Linked DNA regions of Elephas maximus indicus. The protein of the gene in region 2 interacts with the protein of the main gene of each other region in a pairwise test. Links are inferred from orthologs where the notes say so. Each region holds a gene or a part of one and is shown on either strand. Other genes may lie near its edges.

The links.
Region 1: the proteins of BNIP2 (region 2) and FRK interact in binary tests that used the Homo sapiens proteins (3 or more experiments, as listed by UniProt). The two-hybrid records come from large-scale screens. The link is inferred for Elephas maximus indicus from reciprocal best matches to the Homo sapiens genes BNIP2 and FRK.
Region 3: the proteins of BNIP2 (region 2) and KLC1 interact in binary tests that used the Homo sapiens proteins (3 or more experiments, as listed by UniProt). The two-hybrid records come from large-scale screens. The link is inferred for Elephas maximus indicus from reciprocal best matches to the Homo sapiens genes BNIP2 and KLC1.

What each region holds. Positions count from the first base shown.
Region 1 is NC_064819.1:182,618,723-182,622,469, forward strand, and holds the start of FRK (tyrosine-protein kinase FRK), read right to left. Parts: upstream 2,365-3,747; 5' UTR 1,790-2,364; coding exon 1,419-1,789; intron 1-1,418. UniProt on the Homo sapiens protein: Non-receptor tyrosine-protein kinase that negatively regulates cell proliferation.
Region 2 is NC_064831.1:49,781,053-49,784,799, forward strand, and holds the start of BNIP2 (BCL2/adenovirus E1B 19 kDa protein-interacting protein 2), read right to left. Parts: upstream 2,628-3,747; 5' UTR 2,565-2,627; coding exon 2,346-2,564; intron 1-2,345.
Region 3 is NC_064828.1:117,880,747-117,884,493, forward strand, and holds the start of KLC1 (kinesin light chain 1), read left to right. Parts: upstream 1-1,207; 5' UTR 1,208-1,298; intron 1,299-2,039; exon of another isoform or gene 2,040-2,319; intron 2,320-3,747. UniProt on the Homo sapiens protein: Kinesin is a microtubule-associated force-producing protein that may play a role in organelle transport. The light chain may function in coupling of cargo to the heavy chain or in the modulation of its ATPase activity.

The DNA.
Region 1 (3,747 bases), on a different chromosome or scaffold from region 2:
ACATGCATAATGCCATACCCTCCATGGAAATCATGTAGTAGTGAATACACACAAATGCACGTAAGCAAACATTTAATAAATAAGTAAAGATATGTCTTATAGGTTATTGCTGAAAAAAAATGTTCTCATTTAAGAACTGATCGATTCACTTCATCAAAATTTTAAATTACAATCTCTGTCTAGGCATAAATTTTAAAACCATCTTTACATCCGTAGGTTCCTGGCATTGTTCAGAATCTCAAAAATTCCCTAGCTACCTTTTTTATTTGGATTTGAGAGTTTGGAAAACTGCAACAATGTCCATGATTCCTCCTTAACATCTTACTTTTTCAGCCAATAAGAGGTGCTCCAGCTTGCATTAAAAAAAAAAAAAAATGATTGCAGGAGAAGATGAGTGAAACTTCAATGGTTCTTCAGCTAAAATCCATTCTATAATGAGTCCATTTCCTGTGAGTCACTCTCTTATTTGGGTTTCACCGGACAAGGCAGTACAACAGTCTCCACTTTCCTCTCAGCCCATCAAACCCTAAGCACCCATTGTCAGAAGCATGCTTCATCCACTTTATACTCAACACGACTAGTGTCAGTCCCTCTATCCTTACCCCACACACACCATGCCTACTACTGTGCCTGGCACTTGCATGGATGAATGAATGAGTAGGATGAATAAACACACAAAATTTTCCCCTTTTGTTCCACTATAATTCATAGAATTCATTCAAATACAGAGTCTTTATCTTCTCTTCTGAGGAAATGATCATTGTTTTTACTATTTTTTTTGTTAAAACTTAAGTAAATGTCTGGCCAGTTTCCAATGCTAGTAAAAACTGAAAGATATTTTAAGTTGGGTAGCGTAACTCAAGGTCTGGAATTCAAAGGAAAAATGCCTACACGTGATTTCACTGGGGAAAATGTAAGTAAAAACTGTTCTGCTCTAAATGTTATCTTTTGTGTTAGTTAGCCCCGTGTGTGCTGTCAGAATGAAAAAGGATTAGGATTAGAGTTAGGGGAGTGCTTCAAAGGTTAAAAAAAATAAATAGGAAGAGCTGGACTTTCGATCTGAAACTGTGGTTTAGGGAAGTCCTATGATTTACTATCGTTAAAGTGAAGTGTGAGTGGTTTTATAGCCAAAGGAAAGGTAAAGTATTAAGTGCACCATTTGTTTATATTGATGAAAATGCACCCAGGGCCTGTGGGTATACATTCTGTAATACAAGTTCTTTCAACAACAACTATCAGCCAAGTTCACTCTCACTGGGTGGGGGAGGTGTATTTCAATTAGTAGGTTCTTGCCAGGACTTCCTCATACTTTCTGGGCAGCTCTCTGGAAATTCGGGGGTTGTGGATAGGTAGGGAGGAAAACTCATTACCCGGTCTTCTGAGAGTGGGAAAATAAAGTTTGGGTTTGTACTACTCACGGCTCTGCCTCTATGCTTCTGTCCTCAGCGACATAGTTAGAAGGAATATAGCCCTGGAGTTGCTGGCCAGAGCCGTCTCCCCTTTTCTCCAAGTGTCTGGCAAACCACCAACCCTCGTGGGAACTGTCCAGGATTTGGAGCTTGTCCCCTGCGTGGAAGCTCAGGTCCTCTGCTGTCCGAGCCTGGTAATCAAACAGAGCCACAAAGTAGTGGCCATGGCTTCTCTGAGGCTCGTTCTTCTGTGGCCGGGGAGCATCAGGGGAGCAACGGGCTCCTGGATTCTCAATCACCACCGGCTTGACTACCTCCTGGAATAAGCAGGGCAGACAGGGCTGCAAGTATGCCCAGAGCCTCAGACAGACGTTGCCCATGGTGCTCTACCTGGTGGGGAGGAAGAGAGAGAGGCTTCTCCCTCTCCTCTTTGTCTCTGCAGATCCACTTTCTTGCCCTCCACCAGGCGACTTGGAAATCAGCACCAACTCACCATGCTTTGGAGAGTGTGCAAAAACCCTGTTTCAAAACAATCTGGCAGGTCTGGCTGCAGTGAACCTTGCTTTCTTCCTGAGGTGGTAGCTGCTGCCCCAGAGCCAAAGCGAGGAGGAGCAAGGCAGCTGCTCCGTGGGAAGGTAGGTGTCTTTTCTTCTTGTCTGCCTAAGAATGCCACAACAAAAACAAAATAAAATTAAGAAGGCTTTATCTTGACAAATGTCTGAGAACAGGAAAGAGTCATCTTGCCTTTGTCCCAAGGAAAAGTGAAGAAGGGAAAGACAGTGAGTCCAGGTAAAATCTCCACGCCTTGCCTTTGCCAGGGGCTGTCTCCCTGCTTCAAGCCTGTTCCTGTAGTTTGACCAGTCTTGACCCCCACTGCTCTTTCCTTTTTGCTAATGAATAACCAACCAGCCCAGGCTATTGCTTTTAACATCCTGAGCTATGTACAGACGGCAATAATTTCGCCTTACTTCCTGGTTTGTTTTTGGCTGTGATCTAAATGGGATTCCCGACCTCTCTGTCCCTCCCTTCACCCACATCCAAGATAGAACAACGCCCTCACCAGGGAGCCAAACTTAAAGCAATTGCCAAAATCACCCTGGAGAAACAGGCTCACTCGAGGTAGCTGTATTCCCCAGTCAAAAATGCAAGGTAGTGGTTTATTTATTTTTCCCCTACAAAGATTGTTTTGCCACTGCTAGGGGAAACAAGACAGCACATTAAAGTGATTAGGCAGTTGTCACTGGACAAAGGGAAGTTGGGGTGGGATCATTGAGTCCCTGCCCTTTTTTCTTCTTTTTTCATCACTGCAAATGTTTTTAATAGCCTTAAAGTATATTCGCAGTCTGGAAAAGTAAGAGAGAAGCTGACTAAAACTCTGAGAACCTGAACCACAGCTTTTTCCCACAGAGACATTTAATTCGATGACCACTGGAAAGAAAGAACAGAAGACCAGCTGTGTGTGTGCTGCTGTGAAAGCTCTTTCTGTTAAACTTTGACCTCCAGGTCTGTACCAAAAAAAAAAAAAAAAAGCATGTCACTGTCGAGTTGATTCCAACTCATAGCAACCTTATAGCGCAGAGCAGAACTCCCCCACAGGGTGCCAAGGAGCGGTGGTGAACTCAAACTGCCAGCCTTTTGATTAGCAACCCATCTCTTAACCACTGTACTACCAGGGCTCCAGGTCTGTACCAGTCCTTACTATCTTTGTTGGCCAGAGCTCAGCAACTAATGAAAGAGAGAGCAGGACAGCTAATCCTACCCAGGCGGTTGATTTTCCTTCACTATCCCTCCCTAGCTCAGGGCAGCTGTCTCACAATTGCGTGCCTGGATGACAACAGCACCTGGGCAATACGTTTAGAGAGATCAAGGCACTCGGTTCCCACTACTAGAGAGCACTGCAAAAAATGCTTATGACTTGTTTTCCATAAGACATTTATTAAAAAATTTATTTCTTAAAAACAATCTCTTGAAATGTTGGCGAAGCCTTGAACCTTGCTAACCTAGCCCCAGAACAAGCTCAAAAATCCTGTTTTTTGTCAAACTACAAGGCATTCTAGTTGCCAGAATAATCCAAACTCAAAAGAAAGGGGAGGAGGGGAAGATGAAGAAAAGAAATAAAACAGAGAACTATGGCTTAGCCCTACCTGCTATTATCTGTTGCTGCTGTTAAGTCAATTTTGACTCATGGCAACTCATGTGTTACAGAGTAGAACTGTTCCATAGTGTTTTCTTGGCTGTAACCTTACAGAAGCAGATAAAATTCCATGGTGCTTCTAGCTGGGTTCAGGCTGCCAACTTTTAGGTTAGTAGTCAAGTGCAAACCACTTGTATCACCCAG
Region 2 (3,747 bases):
GGACCGGGCAGTGTTTCCTTCCCTTTGTACATAGGGTTGCTATGAGTCGAAATTGACTTGAGGGCACCTAACAATAACAACGACGATGCTGAAATCAATTACAGCTGGCAGAAGGAAATGCCTAAGCAAGCCTTTCACTTCCCCATTCAAACTCTAAATAGTTATGTTCAGTTTTGTCCTCTGAGCTTGGCAACACTGGTAGCCATATAGGAAAATACTTTAGACTAGCCTATGTGTTTATGAAGATCACCAAAACACTCCCCCCAAAATTCTGTTTGTTTGTAATTGCACACAGATTTTTAAGGATGAAATAAATGAGATGCTTTATCAGAAATGTTAAAACAAAATTCCAAGAAAAACATGAATGGTGCTAAATTTTCTCAAAATTGTGAGAATAAAGCTAAATATAATCATATAGCACCTAGGAGAGAAGACTTATAGGGTTGCTATGAGTCGGAAGTGACTTGATGGCAACAGGTTTTTTTTTTTTTTTTCTTTTTTAAACGAAAGAAGACAGAACACAAACTCAAAAGAAGAGAGCAAAAAGGTACATTAAATTATTAGTATGCAGAACATCTTGGAGATGCCCCAGGACCCTAAAAGATTAAAGTCTAACAGCTGATCTCTGCCACTTTGTTGTAGAGTTAGAAATATTGGCTGTAATATAAAACCATAAGCTTGGAGTATTACTACCAACACAGGATATCAGCACTGTGCTTCACGGGGTCTAAGCTTCACAAGCCATCACTGCCAGTCAAAGCTAACCTACTGCTCTGGCTATACTACCTGCGTCAGATGTTTCGCCCTCACTGCTCCTCTCACCTGCGTTACTCCACAAAGACCCAACTGAACTTCCTTCCCAAAAAGTGTTTTTTACATTTACTAATCACTTTAACACCAATCATCTCATATGTCCTAACCAACAATTCTATGAGGTATAAAACACTGGTGTTGTCACTGCCATTTTATTTGATACTGTATAGGAGACAACTGAAACTACACCAAGGTTTAACACCTAGGTTCCTAGTCAGAACTGTTTCTAATCCAGGACAGTGTCTCCAGTTCAGTGGCAACTTTATACAGAATACGCCTGTAAGGCCAGATTTGGTTACACTCAGCTTCAACGGTCCTCATAATGTCTAATGACTGTAACAGCACTGACTCGTGATGATCTAGTTCAAAGTCCACGTTTGCAGAAGTGGACCTGCCATACTTCCTGTCTAAACCCCATAGAATCTGACTGCGACAGAGGTGACCAGCGACGACCAGATATGGAGCTTAGAGAAAATGTACAATGACAAGTACACGGTAGAAGAAAATGCACAAGAAGATCACGAAGAAATTAGTCTGCAGGTATCTTAACTGGATAACTTCAGCTACATTTGTGAGGAAACTTATTATCCATTTACAAATTGCAGAAATTTTAATCAAACATTAGGAAAATATATTTAAGAAATAGTAAAGAAATGAGGTATTAGGAGACAAAGGCCTTAGTCAAAGAAAGGTGAGTATGAAAAACACACACCCAAATCCTAACTGCAGACCTTTTTGGTTAGCAGCCCGACCACTTAACCACTACTCCACCCCGGTTTCCATCACATACTTAGCACTGATTTACTGAACCAATTATCCGGGAGGCATTGTGACTACCTAGATGAACAGGAAAAAGCTGTGTCTGCAAAGAGTTTCCGGAACTGCTTCAAAGAAAAGGGATAAAGACTCATATTATTTCTGATTTAACACGAGGCGATCCCGTACATCTCCAGTGGCAACAGACGCACCCAGGGAACCCAAATCATTTTGCCAGGTGTTTACAGGCCAAAGACAGAGTGTCTGAATCCATGCAGGAACTCGACTTTTCACGTACACACCCTATATTTGGGCTGGCTGGCTCAGGAAGCTTTAATAAAGCCCTAATGACAAATGCCGCTTCCGCGTCTATTCCCCGAGGCTGCGAGGCACACCAGAAGCCCAAGTCTCTTTGTTTTGCACCAGGAGCAGCGCTGGTCACAAACACGGAACCGCGGGGCCCAGTCGTCGCACCCCCGTCAGCTTGCGGAGGGTGGTCCGGGGACGGCGAAGCTCCGTCCCGAGCACCGCGACCACCGCGAACGGAAAGGCGTGGGGGGCAAGGCTGGCAAATGCAGACCGGAGCCGAGCCAAGGGCGGGGATCTCCGCCGGGCGGGGACGGAGGAAGCGCCTCCGGGGCGGCTTCCACGGCGCCCCACGACGGCTAGCCCCCGGGCTCCCTCTCCGCGGCTGCCTTGGCCAGCGCCCCGCAGACCCTCCGCCGCAGCTCGTCCCTAGTCAGGCCGCCGCGCCGACCCTCCCAGGCCGCACTCACCCCGGAGGACGCCTGGGCCCCCTCGTCCTCTTCGCCTCTCCAGGCCGGCGACGGAGGACGGACGGCCAGGTCGCAGAAGGCGGCGCCGAGCGGAGCCCGCTCCCCTCGGTGCGCGGCGGAGACGCGGTCCCAGCACCCCGGCCGCAGGGACGGCAGCGGCGGCGACGGCGGCAGCGCTGACCCGGACGCAGACACCGGCGACACCGGAAGTGACCGCATCCAGCCCTTCTCCAGGCGCAGCAGCCGGCGAGAGGGAGGCGGAGGCGGGATGTCTCCCGAAGCGCACGGGGTCTTCTCGACGGGCGCGGGCTGACAAGCGCGCATGCGCACTGTGGCCGTCCTCGTTCCCGCTGGGCGGGCCTTGGCGTGGACACCTTATTGGGGCGCCTGTAAGGCTGGTGGCGCTTCCTCGCAGCTTCCTCTCTTCTGGGGTGCGGCAGTTAGGTCCTAGAGCCATTGTTTTCATTTTATCTTTATTGATAATTATAATAACTATTGTAAAATAGATATCTCTTTAGTGACCCAATTATTTTCTGCTTTAAATTTTTTATTCATACCGTATGTTTTAATTAATGGAAGTATGCTGATTCTTGTGTCTGAATTTTTGGTAGGTAGTATAGTTTTTTTTCTTTCTTGCTCCGTGGTACGTATCACATACCACTAATTATGCCCCCGAGTGCTGCAGGGGGTCTGTTGGTACATACGCGTAACAAAAATTTTCAAAATCTTTATTTTTGCTACAAAAATTTCAAACAGCTCATTCAGTACCCTGTAAAAACAGTAAGTTGTGGCACAAGTCTGTTTCTTCAGTTTCAAACAGTCAAAGGCCCCTGCCTTTTGGCAACACACCTACCTGTAGGTGCTACAGCAGCTCCCCATTAAACTTCAGAGGCTGAAAAAGTTCCCTGTTGTCGCTATGAGTCGGAATCGACTCCACGGCACTGGGTTTTTTTTTTTATATGTACCCCCGGGGCACGAAAGTGATAAAAAGAGGAAGAAAAATAATCTAAGCCCTCATTTTGGGCAGGTAGACGTCAAAAGAATCCCTAGTTTGGTGAATTTTGTACAGTAGCACTTCTCAAACTGTTGGACATAACCTTTCTTTTTTAAATTTTCAATTCGTTGTGGACCGCACTTTTGTAAAATAAGCAAAATATTAGCAAAATAAAACAAAAAAGGCATACAAAGTATAAATTAAAAAGTTTTATTCTTAAAGTCAAGAGCTGTAAAATTGCCATAAAGGCTCCTAAACACTCAGATTTCTTCACTTGTTTCACGCAGTTCTCTGAAGCAAAACTGCTTCACAGCTTCAAGGAAATAAGAGTAGTTCGGGAAAATTCAGCAACATAGTAATCTCTTTGAGAGTTTTGTTCCCCTAAATCATTTCAAGGGCCCAGCAGGC
Region 3 (3,747 bases), on a different chromosome or scaffold from region 2:
GTAAACTCCTCGAGAGCAGGGGTCTTATATATCTGTTCACCAACACATCCTTGGCCCTTATTTGCGGGAATCTCAGGAGCTCGGCAAATACTTGTAGAAGGGATAAAGAATGAGGTAATAAACCTGCACAGGTGGGGGCAGTGGGGATGCACTAAAAATATGTTGTTGTTGTTGGCTGTCCTCGAGTTGAGCCCCTGACTCATGGTGATCTCATGTCCTGTGGAACAAAATGCCACCTGGTCCTGTGCCATCCCCGTGGCGATGGGTTGCTGTGATCCATAGGGTTTTCACTGGTTGGTTTTTTCAAGCAGATCACCAGGTCTTTCTTCCTAGTCCATCTTAGTCTGGATGCTCCGTAAAAACCTGTTCAGCTTCACAGCAACATGCAACCCTCCACCGACAGACAAGCGGTGGCTGTTCGTGAGGTGCACTGGCTGGGAACTGAACCTGGGTCTCCCGCATGGGAGAAAAGAATTCTACCACTGACCACCAGTGACCTAAGGAGATCTTAAGGAGGTAGAATCTTGGCTACCCGTGGGAAGTGGGGTACAGGGGAGAGGGCATCAGGGCTCCGGGTTTCTTGCCTGGGCGATGGGTGACTGGAGGTGCCACTTCCCATACCTGGCCTGGTCCTCCCTCCTCCACAGCACTTGGCAGTGAGTCAGGAGACACCTGTGCGTACCCTTCCAAACAGCTGCTGTGCCCAGCCTAACCGTGGTTGAGGAGCAGCACTGGAAGGTGGGTGATAGCTAGGCTGGGGTTTGGCCAGAATCACTAACAGCGTATGTGCGTTTCACTCTGCTTCATGGCCTCTGCCTTGGGCCCTGTAATTGCTGCGTCACCCTAGGAGCGCCCCCTTTGCACTCATAAATCAGATCGAAGTAGCTGGATCTGCTTGTGACAATCTGGGAGCGCTTACTTGCCTGGTGACTGCACAATTGCAGGTCAAAACAAGGCTGCCTGTCGATGCTGGGTGATACCATCTGAAAAAGACAGCGGTTCACAAGGGCAGGGGCTGGCAGGGGAACCACCTGGCCCTTGGGACATTTGCAGGTCCCCAGAAGGAGGGATCTCCCAAGCTGGCAGCAGGCAGAGGGCTGAGCTGGGCCCCCTGCATCTGCGGCGGCCGCCTGGGTGGCTGCTGAGTCAGCCTGCGGCACTGGCGATGCGGCAGGACAGGACCCAGGCGCTCTCTGACCTGGAAGTACTGCCCTTCAGGCGGGCTGGAGGTCGAGGCGCTGCAGCAAGCGGTGTGGTCTGCAGGACGGCCGGGAGGCTGCCAGGGTGCGACAGCCGAGGTGGGCATCTCGTCTCTGGCCAGGCACGGCTGGTCCAGCATCCCGTCCCTTCCCCCAGCCTCAAGTGCAGTTTGTGTGAGAGCCTGCGGCCGAGGGGCGCGCCTGGAAAGTCCCCTTGAGCTGCATTCCTGAGGCTCCCGGGGCTGGGGGAGAGGGCATGAGATGGGGAGGGCGTGGCGGTGAGTCTTGACCCACGACTCTAAGTTTTCCTGGAGAACGGAGACAGGCCCCCTGGCCGGGAGACCTCGAGCTCGCCACCGGCTGGGCAGGTCGGCAGCATCGTGACCTTTGGGGGGGCAGACGGGAGCCCTCCCTGCAGGCCCTGGGCGGACGTAGGGGGCGCGTCAGCCTCACACCAGGCACAGGAGCGTGGGTCTGGCGCCCGACACGCCCGGGGTGGGCCGGGGCCGCGGCCGGGACGTGGGTGGACGAGGCGCGCACCTCCTCCGACCACATTCCGGGCGGGTACCGGCTGGGAGGGGCGGCGGCCGAAGCGCCGGGTCACCCCACGGCCGCGTCCCAGCAGCCCAGCCGGGCCGCACCTCTCCCTGCCCCAGAGCCCGGCGCCCACCCCGGCGACGCCCCCGGATCTCGGCCGCCGAGCGTGGGCAGCGCAGCCCCCGGGAGCCGCGTGGGCGCCGCGGCCCGAGTCCCCCGCCGAGCGCTGGCCCCGCCCCCGGCGCGCGGGGGCGGGTGACGTCATCCTGGGCGCGGCGGCGCGCGGCATTGTGGGGCGGGGCCGGCCGCGCCGGGAGGGAGGAGACGCCATTTTCGGCGGCGGAAGCGGATCCGGCAGCGCGGAGCGGAGCTGAGGGCTGCGCTCGGCGCCGGGAGACACGGGGCGCGAGCCAGTGGGGATGCTGCGGGGCGGCGGCAGCGGCGTCGGCGTCCCTCGCTCGTGACTGCGGCGCTGTGCCTGGAGCGGCCGAGGCAGCGTCTCCTCAGAGCGTCGCCCCTCCGCGCGCAGCCCCGCCGCGTCCTGCCCGCGCGTGGCGAGCGCGGCCCCCGCAGGAGCAGGACGGTGAGTGCGGCGGCGCGGCGACGGCCGGGCGGTCCCGGCCCGATTCCGAGCGCGTCTCGGCCCCGCCGCGGCCCCGCGCCGGTCCCCTCTCCCGCCCCCGTGACTGCCGCGGGCGCTGCGTCCTCATCCCGGTCTCCATCCCGGTGTCCGCCTGCATCCCGGCCGCCCGCGTCCCGGCGCCGTTCTCCCGCGGGCAGGGGCGGCGGTTCCCGGGGACGGGGCGGCGGTTCCCGGGGACGCGGCGGCGGGGCTCGCTTTGTCCGGTCCTCCCTCTTCCTTCCGGCCGCCGCCCTCTCCGCGGCGCCGCCCTGGGCCGACGCGCCGGTGCCCCTCGCGGGCGATGGGAGCCGCCCCGGCTGCAGACCCCCTGTCTGGCCGGCGCCCCCGTCTTCTCACGGGCAGGTGGGCGAGGTTCCCGTCCGCGGCCTTAGCGCACGCTGGCGCTGCTGCGACCCAGCTGGCCGCGGCCTCCGTCCGGAGTACGTTCTCGGTTGCAAAATTTGTGCACGTTATTCTTTAAATGAAAATAAAGATTAAAAAAGTAAAATTGACGCGTGGTGGATTGCATGGCTTTTTAGCTAAAGATTTGTAGGTCCTGTAGGTCGTTCCCGGATGTATATATATGGATGTTTTTGTTGAAATTTGTTGCTGTCTGTTTTTTCTCATTGAAAGAATATGCTCAAAATTTACGTAGTAAGCATGTCATAAGGAGGACTTGGAAAAATGAGTTTTTATAGAGCGGGAAAACAGCAAAAATTTAAGATGTGTATACCATTTAAAGTGCAATGTAGATCAGTTAGAGCTTTGATGGCTTGCACAGTTAAATTCCAAGGTCTTTTTTTTTTTGGTACAGCATGACTAAGCCCTTGGTCAGAATCTGTAGCTTGGAATACATTGTAATGATCCAGTGAAAAGCCTCTTAGGAGATTGGAACGACCTCCTAAAAGCTAATAATTATAGAATTTACCTCTTTCGGGGATTGGTAACAAGCCACAGTTAGAGTGGAAATTTGACCCATTGTTCTGTTTCATAAGTGTTTGTAAGAATACCATGGTACTAAATATTACAATTTTCAGATGGTGTGGAATTATGGGAGGGTAGGCGGTCTGAGCTGTTTCTCCACGTCACCGAAGAATGCAACATCATGTTGCAGTTGGCGCTGGGTGATGGAGCGCCAGGCATGGGGACCCTCCCTGGGCCCTGCTGTGTACTTTTCTCCGCAGGTGTGAAGAAATGCATGGGGCTCGCACAGTGATTCTCTCCAGCCAGCGGGAGGGAGGGAATGAATGGCCCTGGGGAGGGTACCGGGTCCCGTGTTTCATAGATTCCTAAGCATGTTTCACAGTGTTGCAGAAAAAATAAAGTCAGTGTGTAGATTTCCCCATAGGGCTTTTATAAACTAGCTTAAAACATCATGTAATTATGTAA